7 linked regions of the Ovis aries genome follow. The protein of the gene in region 4 purifies or fractionates together with the protein of the main gene of each other region. This does not show direct contact. Links are inferred from orthologs where the notes say so. Each region holds a gene or a part of one and is shown on either strand. Other genes may lie near its edges. The genes, in order: SF3B1, SF3A1, RNPS1, SNRPA, SNRPD3, PRPF19 and CDC5L.

Region 1 (4,101 bases), on a different chromosome or scaffold from region 4:
ATTTTTTATATATAAAAGAATATATGTAATCTATGTGTAGGTTATAAGCCATTTAAGGAATACCTATGGACCCTCTGCCAATCCAAGAACTAGAATTTATCAACAATTGAATTAATAATCTACATGTTCTTCTCTTATCTCATCCCCTTCCTCCTCCAGCTATTGTTTAACCTAAATTAAACTGAAAACTTTAACCCATCAAATTGATTTTTTCATTGATGCTATTAAAATGTCACTTTGGGGGACCTCCCCAGTGGTCCAGTGGCTAAAATTCTGTGCCCCCAATGCAAGGGGCCCAGGTTCAATCCCCAGCCAAAAAAAAAAAAAACACCTTACTTTTTTATTACGTAAATTTCTACTAAGTATTTGTATTCTGAGTCTGTCACACCTGCCCTACTAGGCTGCTTCCAGTACCAATTTCCCTATTAAATTCTTATGTTCTTCTGAGTCCAAAGCCAGTGTGACAGGTTATGGTTGTATAGCTGATGTTTAGGAGAAAAAAATACTGATTTAGGAATGACATTTAGGATTATCAGAAGCATTTCATTAGTGTTAGTGCTGACAATCGGGACTTTTCTAAGAACTCAGAAGAGCGTCAGAGTTCCTGCTGTGTAACTTAATAACCGTGTGACCTTGTGCAGTCTCATATATAACCCTGTCCTATCTTTTTTCCGTCATTTCTTAAATGAGATTAGCAACAATTTATCCACTTTGTGGGAGTTATGGGATTACCAACAAGTTACTCTCTTTATGTGAATTTCAATAGCGATTGGGAATGTATATTGTAGACAAAACTCCTAATCAAATGGTAAGTAATTAGTTAAAAAGAGAACGACCTTAAATTACAGAGTGAGGGATGAGACTGTTGTAACTGTTAACATAACTAAGCACTACAACAGCTGAGACATGCTGAGGAAAGTTTTTGGCCTCAAAACGCCGTCTGGTGAATTTGGAGAAAGGGGACTGAAGGTCTGAGGCTTCTTCCAGTCCTGAAACCTTAGTGTTTCTTTCAGCGACTGTTTTTAACTGCCCTGGTGGAATCCACTTTCCTCCACGGCGGAGTTACTAGCTACAGGGCGCTAAGGCCCACGTAGTCCTTGTCGGGTTTACCACGGAAACCGTCTCCGGGAGCAACCCTGACTCCTCCCTCCACCCACAATGCACCTCTCTGTTCTATCTAGGTGGCTGCTCTGTCACGTGTCACCGACCGAGCGCGCTCCCGCTTGGCGCTTGCGCGGAGAGCGGCTCCCAGCTATTTTTCTCCGTGGCAGCGGCGACGAGCGGAAGTTCTTGGGAGCGCCAGTTCCGTCTGTGTGTTCGAGTGGACAAAATGGCGAAGATCGCCAAGACTCACGAAGGTAAGCGGTTTTCCCCTTGTTACGTAGATTCTCCGCTGCCAGCCTGCTAAGACTTTGTCTTCCTAGGTTTCTGCCTCTTCCTGTGGTTTCTTTTCTGGGGGTCTGAACTCGCGCTTCGGGCCCCGGGTTGTCTGCTCGGCGCCAGAGGCGCAGGCCACTGCCCCGCGTAATGGCGTCCTACTCGTACACCCCCGACAGGCGCTTTGTTCCGTGTTTGGGTACTGTTACTTCAACATTGCTTTTCTTCTCTGATTGGGGCCTCGTTTAAACAGCTCTCTAAGGATAATCCCTGGGTAAAGGAGCGGGGAAAAGGGCATGGGAACAAAGTCTCTCTCACCTCTCGGAACTGTCGTTGGCATAGTTTGTGCAGGGGAGGGTCAGAAAAGCACTGGATTATAGCAGCCGCTTTCCGGGCTGCGCTCAATCGAGTTTAGTCAAACTGAGGCTCGTTGCTCTTTAAGCTTGGTTAACTTGTATGTCTTCAGGCCTCTAAGATACATACCTTGGTGTTTTTTTTTTTTTTGGCTGTTGTTTGGAATGATTTGGAAATACAATCTGGTAGTTTTCTCTGTCCTTGATTACTTTTAGTATAATAGGGGCCTTTTTTCTTTTGAGACTGATTTTTGATGGAACAGGGAAAGGCACGTTAATAATGGCCACAGCTCTTGAACAAGTTGGTCGTTTTGTGAAATACAGAGTATGCGAAATTAGGAAAATATTAGAAATAGGCTGTAGCAGTCCCCCTTCAGGGAGTATTCAGAAATGACAGGAAGTAGGGGCACTTTTGCGGAGAAGGCAGTGGCACCCCACTCCAGTACTCTTGCCTGGAAAATCCCGTGGACGGAGGAGCCTGGTAGGCTGCAGTCCATGGGGTCGCTAAGAGTCGGACACGAATGAGCGACTTCCCTTTCACTTTTCACTCTTGCATTGGAGAAGGAAATGGCAACCCACTCCAGTGTTCTTGCCTGGAGAATCCCAGGGACGGCGGAGCCTGGTGGGCTGCCGTCTGTGGGGTCGCACAGAGTCGGACACGATTGAAGCGGCTTAGCAGCAGCAGGGTCACTTTTGAGAAAAGACGAGGTGTATGGGAAGTTGGAACTGCATTCCTTGATTTCTGACTTGAAATCTGAAATTTCAATCAAACACTGCTTCGAAGAGTTAGTTTTATTTCACGTCGTTTTTTTACTTTTATGTCACGTCGTTTTTGGGTTAGTGGCTTGGTGTTAGTTTGTGGGAGGTAATAAAGACTAAAGTCATCAAATTTTATAGTCTGGTGGGGAAACAGGTATCTATTTTCATTCTTTACGAGGCAATTGAATGCTTAAACAAATATAAGCAGTGTATTTTGGGAAGCTGGGTAACGGAGTCATTAATTTATGCTTAGGGCTATTTCATAGAGGAGATGACGTATCCCTGGTCTAAAAGGATCAATCGGTTTTAAATTAGGGGAGGACATTTGAACCTGAGATGACGTCTTGTTCCTAGTTAGTGACTCGTGAAAGATGTGTTTGGCTAGTTGGGGCAGGAAAAGAGAGTTCAAGGAGGAAAAAAGGAGATGCATCTGAAAAATGTTGGTTGGGGCTGTTAATGATTGTGTCACCCCTGGGAATTGAGTCCAGTTTTCTGCAACTTAGGAAACAGACTAATGAAGTGGCAGTGACTTTTATATTTTTACTGTTCTTGTTAGGTATTTGGGATTGAAACACTGTTTTAATACCAAAGTGTTTTGGGGGCACTTCTGTCTTTAGACTACTACTTTTGTAAAATAATTAGAAAACATAAAGATGTTGGCTATTCTTGTTTATCTTGTAGGTTATTCATTTGGGGCATTTTGTGGCCTTGATTACTTTATCAGTATCTTTATGATAAGATAACTTTTGGATAGGAAAATCAAAGTTATGATTAGTTTTCCTGTGTTTTAGAAGCACAGTTGAAAGTTTTAGTCTATAGAAGATTGCAATTCATTTACCGGAATTGGTTTTATATGGGATTATACTCATGAATTAGCTGAGGCCTAAAGTATTGGAGCGTTCAGTTTCAGGTGTGAACACTGTCTGTATACAAGACACTGTCCAATCACTTACTGCAGTGTAAGACAGTATGATGAATGTTACAGTTTCTTGTTCTTTCCTCATGACATTTTCCTGGAGAGTACTAGTTCTTCAGAGTCCATCTCTGTTTTTACTTCTTAAGCCATCTCCGATAAACTGGATCAGAATAACTTTTCTTGGATTTTTGTTTGTGTATTTGACTTGCGTGTGCTTCTGTTACAACACTCCTAATCTTTATTACTTATAATATTTTACAGTGTTAAGGTTTTTTCTTCCACTTACAGTTGTATACAGAAACTGTCCTTTGGTATCCTCCGTTCCTGATGTATGAATGCTGAATATTTTAATCAACACTTACCGAGAGATTATACTGAAAGTATTAAGACTATCACAGAAAGGGGGCACTTAAACACTGACCTTTGAACAGTTTGGTAGGTTTGAATACTTCTGTTTGGCTAAGATAATTGGGAAGGACTTGAATTTTGGGACCTTCCTGAGTTTATATTTTGGAAACCTCCTGAGACATATTAACATCAAATTAGGATATTTGGCTAGGCTTGACTTTGGCCTTCCAGTATCTCCAGGATAAAGCACCCTCTTCATTCTCTGAGGTAACATTACTTCTGTGACTTAAAGTCATTGATTGTGGTAAAGGATGATCTAGAGGGAGTAAGGGTAACCTTTTAGGATGC
Region 2 (4,093 bases), on a different chromosome or scaffold from region 4:
GGCAACCCACTCCAGTACTCTTGCCTGGAAAATCCCATGGACGGAGGAGCCTGGTATGCTACAGTCCGTGGGGTTGCAAAGAGTCAGACACGACTGAGCGATTTCACATATCCTGACCAGTGCACCCATGGAAATGCTTTGGAAACTCTAAACCCATCTATATAGCAGCGTCAGTCTCTGACTCAGGATTGCTAACTGCCTGGATACCCCGGGGGGATACTGAAGGAATCCAGTGAAGACAAAGCAAGTAACCAAGTAAGCGCACCAGTAGAACAGTAAGAAAGGCCTGGGTTTGGATTCCCACTCCACCATGTAAACTGAAGATCTGTAAATGAGTTGCTCTGGGAAACAAATGATGGAATGCATGTAGTGTTTGGCACAGAGTCTGGCTCATGGTACATGTTCAACAAATCCTAACTATCGCTATAATTCAACGTTAATAGTAACACTAACATCAATCAGCTATGGTGTGAGAAAGAGACACGGGAGGAGACTTGGGAGGGCATCTTTTCCTATCACTCCCCCCGCCACACCCCCATTTCATCGGTGAAGAAACTGAAGTCCAGGCAAGGCTTCAGAGCCAGACACATTCTGGAGTTAGGAGGGAGGGGAGAGGGGAAAGGGAAGAGAAGCCCCCAGGAGGAGAAGCGAAAAGAGGGGGATCGTGGTGTGCCAGGGGGCGGGGAAGAGGCCCGCCGGGACCAACCTGCGGACGTGAGGGGTGGAGCCTAAAGAAGAAACCTAGATCTGAGTGGGTCCACCCGGTTGGAGGGCGGGACTACGGCAGGCGGGGGTGGAACTGGAAAAGACAGGGCCGCGGGAAACGGGACCAGTGGGAATTAGGGATCGAGACTTGGGAAGGGGTCTGGAGGATGTGGACCTGAAGTATAGAAGGGCTTGGAAGAACAGGCAGGCGGAGATCTGGCCAAAGTGGGAGCCCAGTGGGAGAGAACCCGGGATTTAGAAGGCGGGGGTCGGAGGGAGAGGGGAAATGGCCTGGCAGAGTAAAGGAGAGGGGGATCCGGGCGTCGGGGCGGAAGATGTAAAAAGTCTCACCAGTCTCCGGCGTCGCAGCCTCAGCCCCTGTGTCTGGCGGGTTCTTGGAACTGCCCCCAGGCGCTCCTGCAGCTCCGGGGATCCGGTGCAAAACCTAGCCCTGCTGCCCTGCCGCTGCCATGGCAACGGCGTCTCGCTCGTGGGAAGGGCAGGAAGTGATGTCACGGAGAAGGGGCGGGCCCGGACGTGCGTCAGCCTCGCCCCCTCGGCGACAACTCGGTCGGCCGCCGCCATCTTGAGAGCTTGTCGTACTGTTGGTGCGGTAAGGCGCTTTGACGCCGCACCGCTCACCTACACCGAGGCGGACTGGCAGCCCTGAGCGTCGCAGTCATGCCGGCCGGACCCGTGCAGGCGGTGCCCCCGCCGCCGCCCGCGGCCACCGAGCCCAAACAGGTACGGCGAGTTCTGCACCTCCACCGGCCGCTTGAGCAGGCCTGGGCCCTCGCCTCCCGCGCGGGCGCTCCTAACTCGTGCAGGAAGGAGCTGCCGTTTAGGAGGATTTGGGGGGACTCCAAGTCCCAGGAGGCAGCGCGCTTCCCGCCTGCCTTCGGGTAGCGGAAGAAGCCTTATTAGTGCCGTGGATCTCAAACTGAGGTCCGCGGACCAGCAGCAAATGGGAGTTGATTAGAAATGCTGATTTCCCACCCCAGATCTTCTAAAATCAGAATTTGCGTTTTTAATAAGATCCCACGGTGATTCATTAACGTTTGAGAAGCCCTGTTCTAGCGCATCCTCCGGTCTCGTGTGGTTAATTGGGCTCACCGGCCCCCCAGCCTTTGCTCTGGAGTCCCTAATTACCCAGCCTGCAGGGTACATCTTTGAATGTTAACTCTCAGCGTTTGTTTTCTGCTTACCGTAAGCCCGGCACCGTGCCAGGCTACGATATTAGCCAAATGAGTGAAGCACAATTCGTGCTTTATTTAGGGAGCTCAGGGACTAGTGGGGAGACAGATATGAGAGAATACTAGTAAATATCGTCTCAGTCACCACAAATGATACTGTTTCAGACAGCCCTTAAAAAGATTCAGCTAAGGAAGAGGGACGGGGTCAATAATTGGGTGATAATTGCAGGGTATTAGGAATGAGGCAGGAATTCTTTCTTTTTTAAACGTTAAACTTTTTATTTTGTATCGGAATATAGCTGATTATCAGTGTTGTGGTAGTTTCAGCTGAAAAGCAAAGGACTCAGCCATGCATATCCACGCAGTTGTCCTCCCCCACATCCCACACCCATGCAGGCTACCACATAACTTTGAGTAGGGTTCCTTGTGACAGACAGTAAGTCCTTGTTGGTTATCCATTTGGAATATAGCAACGTGTACATGACCTTCCCAAACTCCCCAACTATTCCTCCCCCCCGGTAACCATACATTTGTTTTCGAAGTCTGTTAGTCTCCTGTTGTTTTGTAAGTCCATTTGTGTCATTTCATTTTGGATTCCACATATAAGAGAGGCCATACGGTATTTCCCCTTCTTTGTCTGACTTATTTCACTCAGCATGACACTCTCTGAGTCCGTCCATGTTGCTGCAAATGGCATCATTTCATTCTTTTTAGTGGCTGAATAATATTCCATCACATATACGTACCACATCTTTATCCATTCATCTGTCGATGGATATTTGGCTTGCTTCCATGTCCTGTGCTGTGTGCTGTGCTTAGTTGCTCAGTTGTGTCTGACTCTTTGCAACCCCATGCACTGTAGTCCGCCAGGCTTCTTTGTCCATGGGGATTCTCCACGCAATACTGAAGTGGGTTGCCATGCCCTCCTCCAGGGGCCGAACCCAGGTCTTTTGCATTGCAGGTGGATTCTTTACTGTCTGAGCCACCAGGGAAGCCCAGGAATACTGGAGTGGGTAGCCTATCCTTTCTCCAGGGGATCTTCTTGACCCAGGAGTCAAACTGGGGTCTCCTGCATTGCAGGCGGATTCCTTACCAGCTGAGCTCCCAGGGAAGCCCTTCCACATCTTGGCTATTTTAAACAGTGGAGGCAGCAATTCTAATCCACGTCGCTTTTATGGGCTAGAGGAGAGTTTAAGGTAGGCGAGGCCCATGGGATGTAAGCTAAGTTGTGTTTAGAAGGATGAGTCAGTTCACCAGGTAGGTGATGGGGCAGGCAAATACCATTCTTTATTCATTCAGCAAATTTATTTATTGAGCATATCCTATCTGTTGACCACTGCAAGTACCTCTGTAACCCTGGCATTTTCCCGGTATTCGTGGAAAAATAAGCCAGGTAAAGCCACCTAAGTGCAGAGGTACCGAGGTCTGAGTCAGACAGTGCTTCTGGTCAAGGGTAAAGAAGGTTAAAGCATGGAGTTGGGAAAGTGGTACTTAAGAGCTGTATTACTGGCGATTTGAACTCTTCCTAGCAGGCTTTTGGGAGAAGAGCGGATGTAAGCTGGAGACTGACGTGTTTGTGTTGCAGAAATGGAGGTAGACAGTGATGTGGAGAATTGCTCGGAGGAAAGATTGGTCATGTTATTTGAAAAACGTTGAGGGCCTGGCCTACACTGTGGCTGGGGCCTGGGGCAGAGGGCGCCGGCACGCTGACGGCACGGAAGGGCTGATGTGCAAGCTCTCCCTCTGAACTGATGCGCTGGGATCCTGGTTCTGCCACGTGGGCTTCCTCAGGGAGGGGTCTCCGTTTCTTAGCTTGTCATCTGTAGAATGACAGTAGTGAGAATGCTTAGCGTCGCGGGCCTGTAAGGCTTATAGATGTAATCTGCTTCAGGTGCTCAGAGAAGGATGTAGAACCTACTCTGTGCTTGAGAAGTGTTCCTTATCACTGAATGTGGAGGTTGAGGAAAGGAGAAGAGACCCACGTTTCTGCCCTGGATGACTGGAGGCACGGTTGGCCGTCCATGAGGAGGGTGGTTAGAGATGAAAGTGCCCCGGGACCGTGGGCTCTTACAGCTCTGTGGCCACATGAGAGTGACGGGGGGCATTGGTGTGGGCAGGATGGTGTGGCCTAGAGGTGCTGGGGAAGTGGAGGATGCGCTGTCAGTGCCTACTGAGGACAGTGTGAGTCTGAAAAG
Region 3 (3,315 bases), on a different chromosome or scaffold from region 4:
AGAAGAGCTTGCTAGGAGTCAAAGAAAATAATAAAAAGTCCAGCACTAGGTAATCCTTCTGTCAGATTTTTCTAGTGCTACTTTCGGGGTGCTCGTTGTTAGGGACCCGCAGAAAGGGGGACATTGGAAATATCTTGAATTTTACAGTGAAAGTGTCCTAAGCCACAGACCCTTTTGCTCTGTGGTGGCCTGGGGTTTCTGTAGCCCTTTGCATCCCCTTTTGGGTTGTGCTGTGGTTTCAGGGTTCAGCCCAAGGGGCATGTCATCTCACACTCTCCCTCACTGTCCAGGGCGCCTTCTCCCACCAAACGCAAAGACCGCTCTGATGAGAAGTCCAAGGACCGCTCTAAAGATAAAGGGGCCACCAAGGAGTCGAGCGAGAAGGATCGTGGCAGGGATAAGACTCGGAAGAGGCGCAGTGCTTCCAGCGGGAGCAGCAGCACCAGGTGGGGCTGGCAGGTCAGGGCCTTGCCAGGGCCTTACTTCCAAGGCCATGGCCCTCTTCTTTCCCAAAGAGCCTGCAGAGTGTTCTTTCTTTTTATTGATAAAGCACTCAGATTACTAATTTATGGCAGACTGGTTTGGGCTTTGCTCTGATCATACAGAGGACGGTGTTGGTATGTTTGGTTGTTTTCTTTTTTGGAGGCATTAGGAATGCAACATCTTGAGTTATGCTTTTTTCTCGCGTGCTTTTGATTTGGAGTTGTGGTTGGATCATCCTAGCCTGGCTCTTTCCTTTTCCTTTTGTTGAAAACCAGCCTGTGTCAGTCAGTAGCTGCCTTCCAAGCTGAGCCGGGGGCTCTGATTTCCCAGACTGCTCCTTTTCCTCCCAGTAGGCAAGGCTTCTGTGTAGGTAGGAAGCAGTCCTGTCACTGCATGGTACATATGCTGTTTCTGTCCCTGCAAGGGCTTTGTTAGGATGGGGCTGGAGGGTGTCCGTGGGTGCTGGGGAAAGCCTTGAGGCTTGAGAATACGAGCCCAGTGGTTCCCCTTGACTTGTCTGCAGTGAGGCAGCACTGCTTCTACCGGTGACCCCTCCCTCTCGGCCCTCAGGTCCCGGTCCAGCTCTACCTCCAGCTCAGGCTCCAGCACCAGCACGGGCTCCAGCAGCGGCTCCAGCTCGTCTTCGGCTTCGAGCCGCTCGGGAAGTTCCAGCACGTCGCGCAGCTCCAGCTCCAGCAGCTCCTCCGGCTCCCCGAGCCCTTCTCGGCGCAGACACGACAACAGGCGGCGTTCCCGCTCCAAGTGAGCCCCCTTCCAGCCCCTCTTCTCCACGGGGGACTGGTCAGTTCAGGGGATTACCTCCAAGACTCATGAGTTATCTGGGATCTAAGTTTACAGACTGGGGCTATAAGATTACCATTAGTTATTACCAAAGTAGACCAAAAAAGGAGTTTCACTGTCTTAATAGGATTTTGTATTTTTCAATTAGGTCCAAACCACCCAAAAGAGATGAAAAGGAAAGGAAAAGGCGGAGCCCTTCCCCTAAACCCACCAAAGTACACATTGGGCGGCTCACCAGGAATGTGACCAAGGTGAGGAATCTGCTTCTGTCCAGTGGACATTGGGGTGATTCTTGCAGATGTTTAAAATGGAAAATGAGAAGCCCGCCTCTGCCAGAAGGTAAACGTAGAATGCAGCATTTCTGGGGGCTGAGTTGGTGGCATGTGACCAAGTAGAGCACTGGTTACTTCCTTTTAACAGAATATATTTTGTGTGTGTGCTTAGGGTGCTGAGGGTGTGGTCATTGTGTGGCGAGTTCTCTGACTTCTACACAAGTGAAGGGAGGGTGAGCCTAAGTGACCCTTCTTCCTCCCTAGGATCACATCATGGAGATATTCTCTACCTATGGGAAAATTAAAATGATTGACATGCCTGTAGAAAGGATGCACCCCCATTTGTCTAAAGGCTACGCCTATGTGGAGTTTGAGAATCCAGACGAGGCTGAGAAGGCGCTGAAGCACATGGACGGAGGTAAGTCCAGCCTTGCTCTGACCTGTCCCAGACCAGCTGCCCACCATACCTGGTGTGATGAGAACCGATTTCCAGTCTGGCTGCATGTGAGAATTTCCTTGGAGCTCTGTCAAGATTCCAGTTCTTACTCAGTGGGTGTGTCTTTACCAAAACCATGTTTTACAGAGCATTATTCTTGAAAAAGTATTCATCAAATATGAATATATTAGCATTTTAAGAATATTTCAATCTGTTAAAACTTAAGGATCAAATGAACGATTTTTTTTTTCTTCACAAAGTATTTGACTATAATGAAACATTTTTATATGGGAATGTTTTCTTTAATCCTGAGTTACTTTCTGTTTTGCTAAAACTTAGCATTTTTAAGATAACTTTCTAAATCCACAGATTTTACCTCTTCCTAAAATGCATCCTAACTGTTGATGACGTTTACAGCCACTTTGTATTGGCTTTGACACCCTTTGAAGGACTGAACATTTGCCAGTTGTTTTGCATCTCGAATAGGCAGCATTTTAAGGAGTATAGGTTTCGCTGGACCCTTGCTGCTTCTGTCCTCCAGGCAGCTGAGCTGAGCCAGGAGTGCCCGAGCCCCACGTGGGCTGCCAGGCCGAGTGGGGGGAAGAGTCTGAACCCCTGAGAACCTTGGCATCCTTGGAGGCCCTTTTACATGTTTGAAAGATAATTGCCCTTGAACCCTGGTAGAGTTTGTATAGTACAAAATTTTCCTTGGTACTTCTCTCAATCTCCTTAAATCCCCCTGGAGTATTTTTAGGAGTTCAGCATAAACTGGGATCTGTCACTGTGCAGGCATCAACTCTTATTGAGTCACGCCTTTGTTTTAGAGATTGTCAGTCTTGTGTTTGATGGAGTCTGAGCACTTGCTAAAAATTTAGGAGGCTTAGACACATTCAGGATGTGTGTGATGATAAATATTCCACCTTGTCTTAAGATTCTGGTAGGACTTTTTCTCTGTCTCTTTGTATTGTGCGGAATGGAACCGATCAGTCTCCAGAAAGAAATGGAAGGGCTTGGTTTTTACTGGCAGGTAGCTAGAGGATGAGAGAAGACAATGGCATCCTACTCCAGTACTCTTGCCTGGAAAATCCCATGGACAGAGGAGGCTGGTGGGCTGCAATCCATGGGGTCACGACTGAGCAACTTCACTTTCACTTTTCACTTTCATGCATTGGAGAAGGAAATGGCAACCCACTCTAGTGTTCTTGCCTGGGGAATCCCAGGGGTGGGGGAGCCTGGTGGGCTGCCGTCTGTGGGGTCGCACAGAGTCAGACATGACTGAAGCGATTTAGCAGCAGCAGGTAGAGGATGACCTTTCTCCTTTTT
Region 4 (4,022 bases):
GGGGCAAGGCACGTAAAGCGTGGGATTGAGGACCCCTGGGCTAAAAACTGGAAGAATTTAGAAGAGATCCTACCCCCTTCGCACCTCAGACCGGAGTTTGGAACCTTAGAGCTGACCTTTGAGTCAGAGGTCAAAAGGACACTTGGCAGGGAAATTAGCCTAGTTGTGGAGAAAGTCCTGAAATCGGGGCGCAACGGGAAGTCTTGTGGGCTGGAGAAGGCTCACAGGTTGGAGGTCGTTGGGAGCCCCCATACGGCTGGGGTAACAGGGCCGGGCACTAAAACGCGCCTACCCTTGCCGCAAAATGGCTGCCGCAGCGTACAGCCTTTCCCAAATCCCGCGGTAAGACTCGCAACTCAAGCCCGCCCCTTTAACGATCACGTGACAGAGACTGGCTGCGAAAGAAAGGCCTTGGAAGAGACTGCCGCAAGAACCGAGTCCCGATTGGCAAGAGGCGCGTGAGGGGGCGCGGCCTTCACTGATTGGTCCTTAGTCGCGTGCGCCGCAAAAGGGTTTGCAGGGGCTGGGCGGAGTTTTTCTGCTGAGGCGCGAACCCAATTGCCGTTTTTATTGGCAAAATCTGGGTCCGGGAGCTAGCCTTACTCTGATTGGCCAAGCTACCAAGTTTCTGCGCAGGGGTTGGCTTGTAGATAGACAAGGCGGGTCTAGAGGAGGAAGTTTTGTGGCCGGCGCTCAGCAGCGTAGCAGGCATCGCTTGCGGGAGCTGAGCCTGTTTCGGTGAGTATTCTTGGGCACAAACGGCCGTAGGCGCCTGGCGGCGGAGCGCTTGACGCCCGGGCTTTCCTGCGCCTCGTGTAGTGGGAACTATTTTTTTTCTGCTCGAGGCCAGGGTTCGGCAACGCCGTCCCGCTGGCCTTAACTGGCGCTTACAGCCGGGCCATTTCTCCTGGGCGGGTCTCTGAGCGCGTGGGCCAGTGGGAATCGCCACCTAGGCCGCTCCGCCTACTAAGTCGAGTAGAGCATCCTGGGACTCGTAGTAAACCTCACGAGATTTCCCTCACCACGCGGGGAGGAGAAGCTGTGTGCTGCGTTTGCTTTGTTTTCCGAGCCGTGCTTCCCTCTTTCCTCCTCTGTACCTTACTTGACTTTCTCTTGGAAGGAAGATCCTTTAGTAGCCCGCGTTGGGACAAAAGGATTTTCAGAAACCCAGGACTGAGTGGGACTTTTTCATTCTTTCAGCCCTACCTCAGCAACTTACTCCATGGCAGTTCCCGAGACCCGCCCCAACCACACTATTTATATCAACAATCTCAATGAGAAGATCAAGAAGGATGGTGAGTTTTCGGGATAGTCCGGACACCAGGCTATCCCGCACGAACCTGCTCCCTCTTCTGTCCCCAGCATCCATGTCTCTTCCTCAGCCTTCTCCAGCCAAACCTTTTAAGTTCGGCCTTTGCACAAGCAGTGCTTTTGATATTTCCTCATTTTCTCCTACACTTTTCCCGGTAATCTGGTAACTTGCTTGTCTTTCAAGGTTTCAGCTTCAAGACGCCCCTCCTCCAGGATGCCTCCCCCTTCCCTTTTCCACCCACGTGCTTGCCTCTGACTTCCTAAAACCCTGAACCTCCCCAGCCAAGTCCTGATCTGGCTGTCAGGGGACTGTCTCTCTCCTGGCCTTTGAGCTCCAGGAGGGTAAGAACTGCAACTGTTGGTCACTGTCATGGCCTCAAGTGAATAATCCACAGTGAAAACGTTTCATTTCAAAATAAAGTGAAATGAACCGTGATGGCGGGTAACACTGGGTACCAGGTGCTGATCTATAAATAATGGTTGCATTTAACTTTCACAGCAATCCTGCAGGAAGGACCTGTTGTTCCCATTTCTTAGATTAGAAACTGAGACTCCACAGGGATGTGATTCTCCCAAGGCATACAGCAGGGAAACGTGCTTGAGACCACTATATGGAATTCTGGTTAAGAACTCGATTCTAGATATGACATACTTTTCTTTTTTCTTGAGCAAGTTATCACTTTTTATTGAACTTCATGTTTTTATATATATAGGAAAGCTGGGCAAAATCTGTGCACAGATGTTATAGGGAATATATGAGCTAAACTTCCATGCCTTTTTTTTTATGGTGCCTAGCTGTTAGTAAGGGTTGGATATAAGTGTTAGCTCTTATTATCTCCTCAAGAAAACTGGTAGGAGAACTGAAGGAGCTTGCTGGCATTAAGTTGAGGTTACTGATAAAGTTGCTATTGAAGATAATAAACAAGCCATGTAAATCCCTCATATACTGTTAGAGCATTGTGCCCAGCCAGTTCTCTGTGGAGCTGTGGACACAGTGGTGACTGAGACAGTCCTGGTCCTGACTTCATGGAACCACAGTCTAGTAGAGATGACAGATCTGCTCCCAGACAGTGATAGCCCAGAGTAGCCATGGCCATAATTGGGGGAAGTTGAGGCATAGTAGTCAAGGCTGGGATTGGGCACTTGGAAAAGGGTATTCAGGTTCACAGAACAGGAGACATTTTGGGAAAGCCTACCAGGGAGAGGAAGCAGCATCTGTGTTACAATGAGGGAGAAGAGTGACTAACCTGGACCAGCATGTGCAAATATCCAGGGGCAAAAGAGAGTCTAGGGCATTCTGGGAACCACATGTACTGCAGTTTTGGGTGCCTGAGACTTAGAGGCTGGTGATTTCATGGAGAACATTCAGGCAAGCAGTGCACTCTGGCTCCTGATGCCTTGAGGTCTGGGTGGGTGTTTTACTTCATCCTGAGGGCTTTGGGGAGCCAGGCAAGGGATGCAGTTAATTGTGAAAGATCTTTCCAGCTGTGGAGGGTGAACTTGTGTGGGCAAGAAAGGAGACTGGGCAGAGGCTCAGCACCCAGGGGAATGACTCGGGCCCGCACTGGGTTCACGGGGATGGCAAGTGGAGACAAATCTCAGAATTGTCATCAGAATTTCTGGCCGTTTGCTTCCCTCTTTACCCGACCCCCCTTTTCTTTCCTGCTGTCTCTTCGGCCAGGTGTCTTAAGCTCAGGTACCTTCTTTGCATAAGACGGGTACCCTTTCCTGGCTGTCCATTTGCTAGGGAGGTTTGGTGGTCCTGGGTTCAGATGGACTTGGGTCCTCGGTCAGTGACAGATCCTCTGAGAGCCTCTATCCACATTAGTAAAATTGGGGCAGTTATAATTGCTCACTCATGGAGTAGAGGTAAAAATTCAGTGAAGTTATTCCCAGAAATCATTTAATGATGTGTTTATTCAGGCAGATGTATTTGGAGATTTGTGTGCTGGCAACTATACTGTTCATTAGGGGTTTTTTTTTTTTTTTGGCTCACACCAAGGGACTTATGGAGAAGGCAATGACACTCCACTCCAGTACTCTTGCCTGGAAAATCCCATGGACGGAGGAGCCTGGTAGGCTGCAGCCCATGGGGTCGCTAAGAGTCAGGACACGACTGAGCGACTTCACTTTCACTTTTCACTTTCCTGCATTGGAGAAGGAAATGGCAACCTGCTCCAGTTCTTGCCTGGAGAATCCCAGGGACGGGGGAGCCTGGGGGCCTGCCGTCTCTAGGGTCACACAGAGTCCGACACGACTGAAGTGACTTAGCAAGGGGCTTATGGGATTTTAGTTCCCTGACCAGGGATTGAACCTGGACCCTTGTCAATAAGAGCACAGAGTTCTAACCACTGGACCACTAGGGAGTTCCCTGTGGGGATATTGTGATAAACAAATAGGATAGACTTGTACCTCTTCAGAAAGAGGACCAAACAAAAAGGAAACAAACATGATGTCAGGAGGTGGGAAGTGCCATGAAAGAAAAGCAAGTAGGTTCTCACGGTGAGAGGAGTGACATGAGGGGTCTCTCACCATGGTGGTCAGGGAAGGCCTCAGGTGGTAACATCTCTGCTGAGTCCTGGGTGACTGGAAGGAGGCAGCCATGTACACATCAGGAGAAAGTTGCTCCTAGTAGAGGGAGCAGTCAGTGGAAAGGTCCTGAGGCAAGGTTGCTGTGACGAGCCTGAGAAAGGGCTGGGAGGCCAGTGTTG
Region 5 (4,013 bases), on a different chromosome or scaffold from region 4:
GCAAGCGAGAGATGCCCAGGGGTGTCCCTGCTCAGGGAGTTATCAGGAAAAACAAACAAACCCCAACTGACCGTAGCCGGCCCGGCGGGACCCGCCGGAGCGCACACCTGCCCAGGTTTTGCTCAGAGCTCAACAGCCGGGGCCGCGGCGGCGGTCGGCCCAAGGTCGCGCGGCCGGACCCTGCCCGGCGCTCGGGCGGGGTTCCCCCCCAAACTCGATTCCCAGGCTGAGGGCTGCCCCCCAACCCTGATCCCGGATCCCCGATCCCCAGGGCCCTGCCCCGCGCCCACCGCGATCCCCGGGGTCAGGGCCGCCCCCCGATCCCCGGGGCCCTGCCCCGCGCCCACCGCGATCCCCGGGGTCAGGGCCGCCCCCCGATCCCCAGGGCCCTGCCCCGCGCCCACCGCGATCCCCGGGGTCAGGGCCGCCCCCCGATCCCCGGGGCCCTGCCCGGCGCCCACCGCGATCCCCGGGGTCAGGGCCGCCCCCCGATCCCCGGGGCCCTGCCCCGCGCCCACCGCGATCCCCGGGGTGACGGGGGGACCACACTGACCGGGCTCGAGCGGCGGCCCCGCTGCCTGCGCGTCCACCTCCGTCCTCATGACCCGGGCGGCGCGGGGCTCCCATGGCCCCGGCCCGGCGCGGGCTGCAGCTCTGGCGTCGACTGGGGACGGGAGCGCGCGGCCGGCGCGCGCCGGCTCCCCGGGCGGCCAGCACCAGCGCCCCGGGGGGAGCGGGGGCGGGAGGCGGCGGCGGCCCCAGGCCCCGCCCCGGCCCGCCCCGGCCCGCCCCGGCTCCCACGCCGGCGGCCCCCCGGCCCGCTGCTCCGGGTCCCCGCTCTCCCTGTCCGCACGCCGGGGGCACTCGCCTCGCTCGGGGCACCCCTTCCCCGGCGCCGTCGGCTTCCCAGGCTTCCCCTGCGGGGGCAGGTCCCGGCCCCGGGCCCCCGCCGCCGCCGCCGCCCGCCTCGCTGTCCAGCCCGCGTCTGGCGTCGGGCGCTGGGGACCGCGAGTCCCCCTCGGCCCGGGCCGGCCCGAGGGTCGCTGTTTCCGGCGGCACCTGGGTCCGGTCATCAGCCCCGCTCTTCCCCGGGCCCGGAACTATTGTACCCGAGCTCGGGTTCCCCAGCCGGCGCGGTAAGGATGAACGCGAAGGCGAGAGACGTCGCCCGCCGCCACTCGGGTAAAGGAAGGGGGCGGGCCCTGCGCGAGGCATTTTGGGAACGCGTGGTATTCTGGGAGCGCGCGGCCCGCCATTCGCGCCCTCACGCCTTCGCAGTCGCCGGAGTTCCGTCTGCCCTGCCGCCTCTGAAAGAGGAGCCCGGAGCCGGTGAGGACGGGGCCGGGGGTGCGGGGAGGGCGAGGGCTAGGCCGAGGTCCCGCGGGGGGCCGGGGGGCTGGAGGAGGACGCGCCGCCGAGGAGCCCTGCGGTGCTCGTGGAGGGAGAGCCGCGGGGAGCTGGGCCACCCCGACCCCCAGCGGCGCCTCCCAAGCGCCTGGAGGTGCGTTCGTTAGCTTTTTCCCCGAAGTACTTGCTCTTCGGTTTCCGAACCTCTCCAGGCCGGTGTTTCTCGAAGTATCCAGGCAGTGGTCTTGAGATCGTTCCTGGCTGGTGGCCACCTTCCCCCCAGATCCCTACTTGGCTGATTTCTTTTCAAAGCCCTTGGCATCTCTGCCTCCCTCCCCCTTCCAGGACCTGATCCCCTAACGCTGGAAACACAGGTTATCACATTTCCTTGCTTCTGTCTAAATCGTGTTGCAGCGTCTTGTAACTCCGGCTGCCCTTCCGTGGGGTAGTCTCTGTGCTGCCCCGGTTCCCCCAGCTGCGGTTCAGCGTTGTCCTCAGCAATGGAACCTGTTTTTTCCTAACCTCTCCCGGTCCTTTTCCTCTCTTTCGACCTCCTGCTGCGTGTCAACCGAAAAAATACCGCCACCTAAAAGCTGAGAATTAGGTTTATTCGGTGGGAATCATGAGGACTCCGAGCCCGGAAGACAGGATTTCAGGCGACCCCTGGGAGAGAGAAATGTTGGGTGGGGTGGAGTCAGGCTACAAAGAAGTTTGCAGCAAGGGGCAGGTAATCTGAATATTAAAAGATGACTGTTGAGTAATGGAGACCAGATCTCCGGCCTGAAGAGATTTAATACTTTTCTGTTCTTTGGGAAGATGCAAGAGTCCGGGCTTCCTGAAATCTTTTCTTTCACATGCATCTCAGCTATCTGGGGCCAATTCCTGCTTTTCGGCTGTTCACAGCCTAATTCCTCCTTTACCCTAAAGTTAAGGTACGAGGGACCGCCTCTTGTGCTTCTGACATCCCCCAGCTCCTCAGCACTTACAGGAAGTAACGGACAGCTGCCAAAAAGCCAGTATGGTTTTTACCTGGGCTTAAAAATTTGCATTTGGAAGGCTGGAATACCAGATGGCTGCGACGTGCCTTGATTACTGGAGAGCAGAAAGCATTTCATTTTACAGAAGTTTTCGTTTTATACACCCGTCTTGGGATTGAAAAAATCCACTTGCTTTTTTTCTCTCTTAATTAGATCAAGTCGGGGTTCTCCCTGGTTATATTTTCCCTCCAGGGTGAGCGTTTCCCACTTGTAGCACGCCGCCACCTTGTGAACACTTGGATATTTTCTCTTTAGCTTAATGGTGAAGTAAGTAGACGGTCAGAGTGCTTAATGGGTTGAATTAAACGCACAGCCCCGTCTGAGCTTCCCAGATGGCGCTAGTGGTTAAAAAGACCTCTTGCCAGTGCAGGAGATGTAAGAGACGTGGGCTCCATCCCTGGGTGGGGAAGATCCCCTGGAAAAGGGCGTGGCAGCCCACTCCAGTATTGTTGCCTGGAGAATCCCACGGACAGAGGAACCTGGTGGGCTACAGTCCATGGGGTCGCAGAGAGTCAGAAAAGCGACTTAACATGCGCACTCAAGAGCCCTGTGGTGGAAGGAAGATGGGAGGCAGCTCTTTCCCGTCAGCTTTCCCCCTGTTGAGGCCCTGTTCCTCCCCACTCACACCCTGCACGTGTTTGCCAGATGGGTCCTTCAAGCTCAGAATTCAGCTAAAAAAAAAACTAGTGCACCTCTGGCAACTTTGCTGAGTTTTCCAGAGTGTCAGCCTTGAGGGGTTGTGGTGTTTGCACATGCGTTCTTGGGCGTCGGAAGATGAGCTAACTGCTGTCTCTCTCTCACCGCAGAACTCTCTTCCTGCCGGGATGTCTATCGGAGTGCCGATCAAAGTCCTCCACGAGGCCGAGGGCCACATCGTGACGTGTGAGACGAACACTGGCGAGGTGTATCGGGGCAAGCTCATCGAGGCGGAGGACAACATGAACTGCCAGGTGCCCTGCTCTGTGCGGGGCCGGGGCGGGCCGGAGCCTCGGAGGGCAGGGCGCGGGCGGCTGGGGCTCCTTGAGGTTCTTGCTCAGCGGTGGTTCACCGAGTGCCTAAGCTGTGCCAGGCCCTATTAGAGGTGCCAGAGAGGCGGGCATCAGTGAGAGCCTCTTGGAGGTTGAGAATATGAAACCTAGAATCTGACTGTTTAGATTGCTCGTCCTTCGCTGCTCCCAGTCCCGTGGTTGTCTTCTCACGGACTTTGGGCCCATTTAAGAGAAGCAGCACAGCCTTCCGGAGGAGGCAGTGGCACCCCACTCCAGCGCTCTTGCCTGGAAAATCCTGTGGACGGGGAGCCTGGCGGGCTGCGGTCTGTGGGGTCGCACAGAGTCGGACACGACTGAAGCGACTCAGCAGCAGCAGCGCAGCCTTCAGCGGAGCCGTCAGGCTCAGCGCCCCCGCCCCGCACAGCGCGTTTGCACAGTGCTTTGCAGCTAGCAGAGTCTTCGCTCGCATACTCTGGGTATTTGCCATTTTCCTAGCAGAAGCACCTCGTGTGACTGCACTCGGAGCAAATACTTGGCCAAGCAAGCAGGTTTGGGTGATAGTTTTATCCATGAAATGGGAAGAATGAGATTACGGGACTCACCTGCTGAATATCGCTCTGCCAAGACGTGTTGGACCCAC
Region 6 (3,500 bases), on a different chromosome or scaffold from region 4:
AGCCTCCACGCCACTGGTGACTATCTCCTGAGCTCCTCTGATGACCAGGTATCGTCCCAGCCAGGCTCTTGGTCCCCAAACTCAGGTATCCTGGGAGGAGGAAACATCTTACCCAGCTGGGTCCCCAGAACCAGGAGAGAGTATTTCCTCTCTACAGAGAGGGGATGGCCTTGCCAAGGTCTGCCCAACCAGGGTCCCTGCCTTCCTGAGGGGCCATCAGAACCTGGGGACCCACTGTCTTACCAGCTCTGTTGTCTCTTTTTTTTTCAGTACTGGGCCTTCTCTGATATCCAGACAGGACGTGTGCTCACCAAGGTGACCGATGAGACCTCTGGTTGCTGTAAGTTGTCTCCTAAGTGTTGGCCTCTTCAGTCGCTGTATATTGTTTAATGTTTTATTTAGTTGTTGCTCATTTGTTCTAAAAAATACATGCTGCCAGTGCTTGCTGGGTGCCGGGCATAGTGCTGGCCCAGGGAGCGTGAGGAACAGCGAGGAGCCTACCTTTGCTGTGCTTAGTATCTTGAGGGTGGGCTCTGACCGTCTGTCTGTCTCCCCCCCAACAGCTCTCACCTGTGCGCAGTTCCACCCTGATGGACTCATTTTTGGAACAGGAACCATGGACTCTCAGATCAAGATCTGGGACTTGAAGGTAGGACATGGCTGTCCCCGTCTGCAGCCCAGGGTTGGAGCTCTTGTCCCCGTGTGGTGTGATGAAGTGCTTATGGCACCTGGCCCCGGGGGTGTCCCAAGAGTGGGGAGACAGGGGCTGTGTGTGTGACAGTACTGTGTGTGTGGCACAGTACTGGGGTCCCCAGGCTGGGCGTCCACCCTTGCTCTTCCTGCTGGTTGTCCTCCCTGAGGGTGGAGGACGTCTCAGGAGTGGAGTTGTCTGAGCTCCATTTTCTCCCTCATGACCAGTGGGTGACATTTTACTCCCTGCTCCCCAACCACAGGAGCGCACCAATGTGGCCAACTTCCCCGGCCACTCGGGCCCCATCACCAGCATTGCCTTCTCGGAGAACGGCTACTACCTGGCTACAGCGGCCGATGACTCCTCTGTTAAACTCTGGGATCTGCGCAAACTTAAGAACTTTAAGACGTTGCAGCTGGATAACAACTTTGAGGTACACGTCTTTCTCTGTCACCCCTCCTCCTCGTTTGTCAGTGAATTACTCTAAACTGCCTCTGTTTTCCCCGAATTGCCCACAGTTTCTGCTTCCTTTCATGTGACTTCTTTCCTGATTTTGGCAGGTGAAGTCACTGATCTTTGACCAGAGCGGTACTTACCTGGCCCTTGGCGGCACCGACGTCCAGATCTACATCTGTAAACAGTGGACGGAGATTCTTCACTTTACAGGTAGAGGCTTGCCCTAAGACCCTGAGGTCTCTGGGTGCTCTGGCCCAGAAGAAAGTGGGGAAAATTTCACTGGGTTAGGGGTTTCTAGTGGCAGGCGTGCATTTGCCAAGGCCGCTTTTAGTCACTCTCTGAGGCAATAGAGTTTAGTGGCTAAAACAAGGAACTCAGGAGTCAGACTGCCTGACTTTAAATGCTAGCTCTGCCACTCGAAGCTTTGTGACACTGGGCAAGCTACTTAACTTCTCTGGAAAATAATAGTACAGTTGATTCTCCACAGACTCTACCCACTGTGGATCAAAAATATTTGTGGGCGGAAAAAATCCAGAAAGTTCCAAAAAGCAAAACTCAAATTGCCCGCACACTGGCAACTATTCATGTAGCATTTACACTATATTTAAAATTATTGGCATAGAATTTGTGCTGTTAGGAATTACAAGTTATTTAGAGATGATTTAAAGTATATAGGAGAATGTGTGTACATTATATACAAATACCACCCCAACAAAGTTGGCACCTCCTAATAGTAGTGTGGCCTCTGGTGCATGACTTTCCCTTTTGGAGCTGTAGTTACTTCATCTTTAAATGGGCGTATTGACACTGCTTCGCATATTGTGCCGGCTGGTGCCCTGGAGGTGGCCTGCATGGGGACAGGATGCCTCTTGCACCTTCAGGAACTGAAGGAATGGCAGCTGCTGCCATCTTTGTTAACGAAGTTCTTGTTCTCATTAGCGGGTGGTGGGCGGGGCACAAGCACCTTCTCCCACCCCAGATTCTACTCACTGTGTGTCCCAGAGATGGCCAGACCTGATGGTGTGGCCCATGGGTTTTCACCTTCCCTGGGCCCCGGTGCCTTGATTTAGAGCAGTCAGTGGAGTGGCGGGCTGGAAGCACAGGGCAGCGTTAGAGTGGGGAGCTGGTGGGCCAGCTGTGATTGTGGGAATTTGCCCTGATGTCCATGAACTACCTGAGCCCAGCGGAGAGGGTTGCCTGGCGTCTTTTGCCCCTGACCCAGCCTTCTGTGTGAGCTAGGACAGGCTGATAAGACTGTTCCAGTTACACACAGGGGCTCAGAACTAAAGACCAACAAGTCCAGCTTCCTGTCAGTTCTCAGACTTGGACTGAGCCGAGCAAAGCCAATTTGTAGCTGCCCTCGAAAGCTTAGGTGGCGGAGGACCGGTGTTCCTGTGTTCACTCAGCCCAGCCACACACAGTGCCTGCTGTGGGCCAGCCCCAGGGAGGCTCTGGAGCTCAGTGCCATGTAGAGCTCTGGCCTTGGGGGTTTCCAGGCCGCGGGAGGTTTCCAGGTCACAGGGACGGGTGGGGAGCATGTCATAGGGGTCGACGCTGAGACCCCAAGGAAGAAAAGCCTCCTCACCGTTGTCTTGTCTCTCCACAGAGCACAGTGGCCTGACCACGGGGGTGGCCTTCGGACACCACGCCAAGTTCATTGCTTCCACGGGAATGGACCGGAGCCTCAAATTCTACAGCCTGTAGGCGGCAGCTCACCAGACCGGAGTGGGGCCTCGTCTCAGTAGAGGGATAGCATTAGGGGTGGGGGTGGGGGGCAGGGGAGAAGAGACTACTGGGGGGTGGGGGGTGTATGGGGTGGGACATTCGCATCATTTCACTCTGGTCCCGGTGGTGGCCTGAGAGCCGCAGTGGCATGGACCACCCTCATCCGTCACCCTCTTGAGGGCTCAGCGTCGGCCCCAGGGCCTCTCTTCAAGGAGTTGATGGAGCTGATGGCTGTTCCACACCCACCGTGTTCCAGTTCCTGTGAGTTGGAGAGAGGCTGAGCCAAGGGAACTGTGAAGGGACTGGGCCGAGGGCTCAGGAAGGTTTTTGTAAGCAGCGCTCTAGTTTCATTAAAAAAAGAAAACAAACGTAGCCGCCTTCCTGTGTCTGTTTGTAGTGGGGAGAATCAAGGGGAGGGAGCACCAGTTAGGGCTTCAACCACCAGGATGCCCATCATTCTGTTGTTTCTTTAATTGGACAACAAATTTAAAAATAATCTACAAGCCATTTGCCAGAATGATTCTTCCACATTCCTGCAGGCCTTGACTTTGTGATTTATGGGGTTTTATGTCACCTGCCTTGGGTGGCTCCCATGTGAGCCTGGAAGTGGGGGAAGGGGAGAGTGCTG
Region 7 (3,500 bases), on a different chromosome or scaffold from region 4:
TTTCCTGTTTGGAACCAGTCTGTTGTTCCATGTCCAGTTCTAACTGTTGCTTCCTGACCTGCATACAGGTTTCTCAAGAGGCAGGTCAGGTGGTCTGGTATTCCCATCTCTTTCAGAATTTTCCACAGTTTATTGTGATCCACACAGTCAGAGGCTTTGGCATAGTCAATAAAGCAGAAATAGATGTTCTTCTGGAACTCTTGCTATTTTGATGATCCAGCGGATGTTGGCAATTTGATCTCTGGTTCCTCTGCCTTTTCTAAAACCAGCTTGAGCATCTGGAAGTTCACGGTTCACGTATTGCTGAAGCCTGGCTTGGAGAATTCTGAGCATTGCTTTACTAGTGTGTGAGATGAGTGCAGTTGTGCGGTAGTTGGAGCATTTGTTATTTTAGCTGTTTGCATTTTTTCTGTAGTGAACTGTCTTTCCTTCTGCTTTTTTCCCTTGAGATGCATTAAAAAAAACTTGCCTGGATTCTTTATATCTAACCATTCCTAATACTAATTGCAATTTTTTTTATACTATTTACTTTTTGATACTGTTTTATGATTTAAAAAATGGTGCTACAGAGATATAAAATTTAAAATTGAAAGCTGTTGATTTTTTTTTTTTTTGCCCATTTCATTGATATTAAGTGAGTATATTCCCATCCAGAGATTAGATACATATTTATTTGTAGTTCCTTCTGGTTTTTCTCTTTGCTCTAGTATATATGTGTACCTTTACATCAGAACTGGAGTTGATTTTGGTGCATGGTGTGAGGTGAGGATTTAAGTAAATATTTCTTTCCCAAATGACTGGACAGCTTTCTTAGCTCTGTTGGATGAGACATCCCTTCCCTGTGGTGTATGATTTTCAAGGTGATGTTTTGTTCTTTTGCTTCAGGCGTCTTGCTGCCCTCCAAAAGAGAAGAGAACTTCGAGCAGCCGGCATAGAAATTCAGAAGAAAAGAAAAAAGAAAAGAGGAGTTGATTATAATGCTGAAATTCCATTTGAAAAAAAGCCTGCTCTTGGTTTCTATGATACTTCTGAGGAAAACTACCAGACTCTTGATGCTGATTTCAGAAAGTTAAGACAGCAGGATCTTGATGGGGAGCTGAGATCGTAAGTTACCTTTCTGGATTTTTTTCTCCTTTCTGGTTTTATAAATGGAAAAGTATAGTAGGAATTTTATGGACGGCCAGATATTATCCTTGTCAGAGCCAGATTTTTCTTAGTCAGCACAATGTGGCTTACATAATGCTTTTACTTATTTAATGGATTCACCTTTCTGAGAAAACCAGTGACCCTGGCTGTAATGTTTTTAGTACAGAATACTGTTTGCATTTCTTGAAATGTCAGCATTTGGCTGTTAGTGAATTTGGAAACAGGTTAGTTATTTCACTAATGGCCTGAAGGAATATGTCAGAAATCTGGTCTGCCTTTTTTTTTCCTTAGTGAAAATTTTATCTTGTTTTTCTTAAAATGAAATTAAAAGGAAGAAATGATGATTACCAGTTCATTCTTAAATCTTTTCATCTAATGAGGATCAGTGTGTATTTTTATCAGATGTCTTAGGATGCAAAGGATTTTGCTTATTTATAGGGATTTTTAGAGTTTCTTTAAATCTTATATCTGAATGTTGTGGAAAAAACCTTTTATGCTTATCAGAGATTTTTAGTTTTCCACTCCCCCAGTGGCCTTCTATATTTCTGTTGACATGAATTGTTAGTAAACAACAGATGTCAGCCAGTGTGGATCAGCATTTTCTTGAATGTACTCCATTGCATTTGTTTTTCAGATTAGACCCTTGTTTTAGGTAGCCTCTACAGATAAAAAGATTGAAGAAAAAAAAGTCATTTGGGTGGAGTAGACTAGATAAGAGGAGAAGGGTGACATGCAGAGGGGAAGGAAGCATTCCTGGTCCTTTAGAAAATGACCTTGAGCCTGGCACTAGACCCTAACACCTCTCTGATGTCATTTGTGAGAACTTAACTGTCCTTTAAAAAAAAAATGATGTCAAACAATTGAAGATTAGTTTTAAAGGAAAATTTAAAACCAGTGTTTTAATTCTGTTCCCTTCGTTTGTTTCCCTTTTTGTATACTTTATCATTTTCCTAGTACAAACACATATTTTTGTATGAAGGTAGTCATGATATAGGAGTCATGATATAGGAGTAGTTTTATGGTTTTCATGTTATATGTAACATTTTGCTTATCGTAGTCTTTATAGTTACATAGTTTTACTATTTAGTACTTAAATTACTTAGTGTATCTTATTTTCTTAATAATTCTATTGCTATTCTATATTCCTATTGAACATAGTAGTAAGTAATGTATAGGAATAGGAAACAGCTTAATGTATATAGTTTTGTCTTTTTATTAGTACTTTTCTTAAGAGCGGATTATTTTGTTCAGAGTATATGACTATTTGTATGGCTTTTAACATTATTGCCTATGAGTAACTTTGAAAAATTTGTTCTCCACCTTGATCCATGACAGTGAAAAAGAAGGACGAGATAGAAAAAAAGACAAACAGCATTTGAAAAGGAAAAAAGAATCTGATTTACCATCAGCTATTCTTCAAACTAGTGGTGTTTCTGAATTTACTAAAAAGAGGAGCAAGCTAGTACTTCCTGCCCCTCAGGTAATCTGATGAAAGTAGTTTTTTCACTGTGTGAACTCACATGCATTTATACCTTTTTTCAGCAAATGTTTGCGGGTGTATGTGCCAGGTTTTCTTTTAGGTGCTTGGTACTCCTAAGAAATATTAGGCCTTGAACTTCTCATATGATGGTTTAGTAATTAATTGTCAGCTCTTAGCAATTTGTCAGTAGACTGGGGCTCCAGGCCTCATTTTTTTGTAGCTGGTAATGGTGGTATTTGGCCTTGTGGACTTCAGGTGACTGCCTTTTAGGGAATGTTTGGTTGTGTCATTCTTCTGTTTTTGAGACAGTAACTGTGAGAATCAATGTGGGAGTTGTGGAGAAGAAACAATTCATTCAGCTCATTGTAGGCTCTCTTCCTATGGCTGAATTGTGGTTGGTTAGAAACATGAGGATTTTGAATAAGCTTCTCTTGCATTTTGATGAGTACAGCTCTGTAGAATTGGACAGTTTAATGGAGCAGAGGGATGGATTTAGGAGGTTTGAACAGCTTCTTTAGCCAAATGAATGCCCTGGCTGCATTAATATAAAATTCGTGGGTATAAACATAAAATAGTTTTGTCAGATGCTATCATTTGTAGTGGTGATATTTCTTAAATTGGAATTTTGCCTGTAACCTTTTCTTTTTTTTCCAGTTCTTAGGACATTTGTTGGTAAAATTACAAAAATAACACCTTTTGATTTTCTTAGGGATTTTTGTGGCTCAATGGACTCTGTGATATTTTAATTCATTTTTAGTATGCGCCCCCCCCAATTGATAAATGGTTTTGTACAAATAATTTATAATCTTGATTTATTAATATATTGTTTTGAGAGAATTTCAGTATGGAAATAGAAGAATACAGTTTGATATTG

The links.
Region 1: the proteins of SNRPA (region 4) and SF3B1 fractionate together in Homo sapiens (co-fractionation; 4 studies listed by BioGRID and IntAct, with this or other methods). This does not show direct contact. The link is inferred for Ovis aries from reciprocal best matches to the Homo sapiens genes SNRPA and SF3B1.
Region 2: the proteins of SNRPA (region 4) and SF3A1 fractionate together in Homo sapiens (co-fractionation; 3 studies listed by BioGRID and IntAct, with this or other methods). This does not show direct contact. The link is inferred for Ovis aries from reciprocal best matches to the Homo sapiens genes SNRPA and SF3A1.
Region 3: the proteins of SNRPA (region 4) and RNPS1 purify together in Homo sapiens (co-immunoprecipitation; 4 studies listed by BioGRID and IntAct, with this or other methods). This does not show direct contact. The link is inferred for Ovis aries from reciprocal best matches to the Homo sapiens genes SNRPA and RNPS1.
Region 5: the proteins of SNRPA (region 4) and SNRPD3 purify together in Homo sapiens (affinity purification with mass spectrometry; 3 studies listed by BioGRID and IntAct, with this or other methods). This does not show direct contact. The link is inferred for Ovis aries from reciprocal best matches to the Homo sapiens genes SNRPA and SNRPD3.
Region 6: the proteins of SNRPA (region 4) and PRPF19 fractionate together in Homo sapiens (co-fractionation; 3 studies listed by BioGRID and IntAct, with this or other methods). This does not show direct contact. The link is inferred for Ovis aries from reciprocal best matches to the Homo sapiens genes SNRPA and PRPF19.
Region 7: the proteins of SNRPA (region 4) and CDC5L purify together in Homo sapiens (affinity purification with mass spectrometry; 4 studies listed by BioGRID and IntAct, with this or other methods). This does not show direct contact. The link is inferred for Ovis aries from reciprocal best matches to the Homo sapiens genes SNRPA and CDC5L.

Annotation. Positions count from the first base shown.
Region 1 is NC_056055.1:199,734,116-199,738,216, reverse strand, and holds the start of SF3B1 (splicing factor 3B subunit 1), read left to right. Parts: upstream 1-1,301; 5' UTR 1,302-1,330; coding exon 1,331-1,358; intron 1,359-4,101. UniProt on the Homo sapiens protein: Component of the 17S U2 SnRNP complex of the spliceosome, a large ribonucleoprotein complex that removes introns from transcribed pre-mRNAs.
Region 2 is NC_056070.1:69,363,654-69,367,746, reverse strand, and holds the start of SF3A1 (splicing factor 3A subunit 1), read left to right. Parts: upstream 1-1,293; 5' UTR 1,294-1,386; coding exon 1,387-1,449; intron 1,450-4,093. UniProt on the Homo sapiens protein: Component of the 17S U2 SnRNP complex of the spliceosome, a large ribonucleoprotein complex that removes introns from transcribed pre-mRNAs.
Region 3 is NC_056077.1:2,301,123-2,304,437, reverse strand, and holds part of RNPS1 (RNA-binding protein with serine-rich domain 1), read left to right. Parts: coding exon 1-49; intron 50-290; coding exon 291-446; intron 447-1,053; coding exon 1,054-1,245; intron 1,246-1,432; coding exon 1,433-1,535; intron 1,536-1,820; coding exon 1,821-1,974; intron 1,975-3,315. UniProt on the Homo sapiens protein: Part of pre- and post-splicing multiprotein mRNP complexes. Auxiliary component of the splicing-dependent multiprotein exon junction complex (EJC) deposited at splice junction on mRNAs.
Region 4 is NC_056067.1:49,429,715-49,433,736, forward strand, and holds the start of SNRPA (U1 small nuclear ribonucleoprotein A), read left to right. Parts: upstream 1-1,222; coding exon 1,223-1,295; intron 1,296-4,022. UniProt on the Homo sapiens protein: Component of the spliceosomal U1 snRNP, which is essential for recognition of the pre-mRNA 5' splice-site and the subsequent assembly of the spliceosome. U1 snRNP is the first snRNP to interact with pre-mRNA.
Region 5 is NC_056070.1:71,547,568-71,551,580, reverse strand, and holds the start of SNRPD3 (small nuclear ribonucleoprotein Sm D3), read left to right. Parts: upstream 1-1,213; 5' UTR 1,214-1,329; intron 1,330-3,190; 5' UTR 3,191-3,208; coding exon 3,209-3,334; intron 3,335-4,013. Other genes in the region: protein GUCD1, read right to left, coding at 869-1,073. UniProt on the Homo sapiens protein: Plays a role in pre-mRNA splicing as a core component of the spliceosomal U1, U2, U4 and U5 small nuclear ribonucleoproteins (snRNPs), the building blocks of the spliceosome.
Region 6 is NC_056074.1:34,598,710-34,602,209, reverse strand, and holds the end of PRPF19 (pre-mRNA-processing factor 19), read left to right. Parts: coding exon 1-48; intron 49-270; coding exon 271-340; intron 341-563; coding exon 564-649; intron 650-953; coding exon 954-1,124; intron 1,125-1,251; coding exon 1,252-1,357; intron 1,358-2,753; coding exon 2,754-2,851; 3' UTR 2,852-3,240; downstream 3,241-3,500. UniProt on the Homo sapiens protein: Ubiquitin-protein ligase which is a core component of several complexes mainly involved pre-mRNA splicing and DNA repair. Required for pre-mRNA splicing as component of the spliceosome.
Region 7 is NC_056073.1:17,858,154-17,861,653, forward strand, and holds part of CDC5L (cell division cycle 5-like protein), read left to right. Parts: intron 1-885; coding exon 886-1,104; intron 1,105-2,481; coding exon 2,482-2,626; intron 2,627-3,500.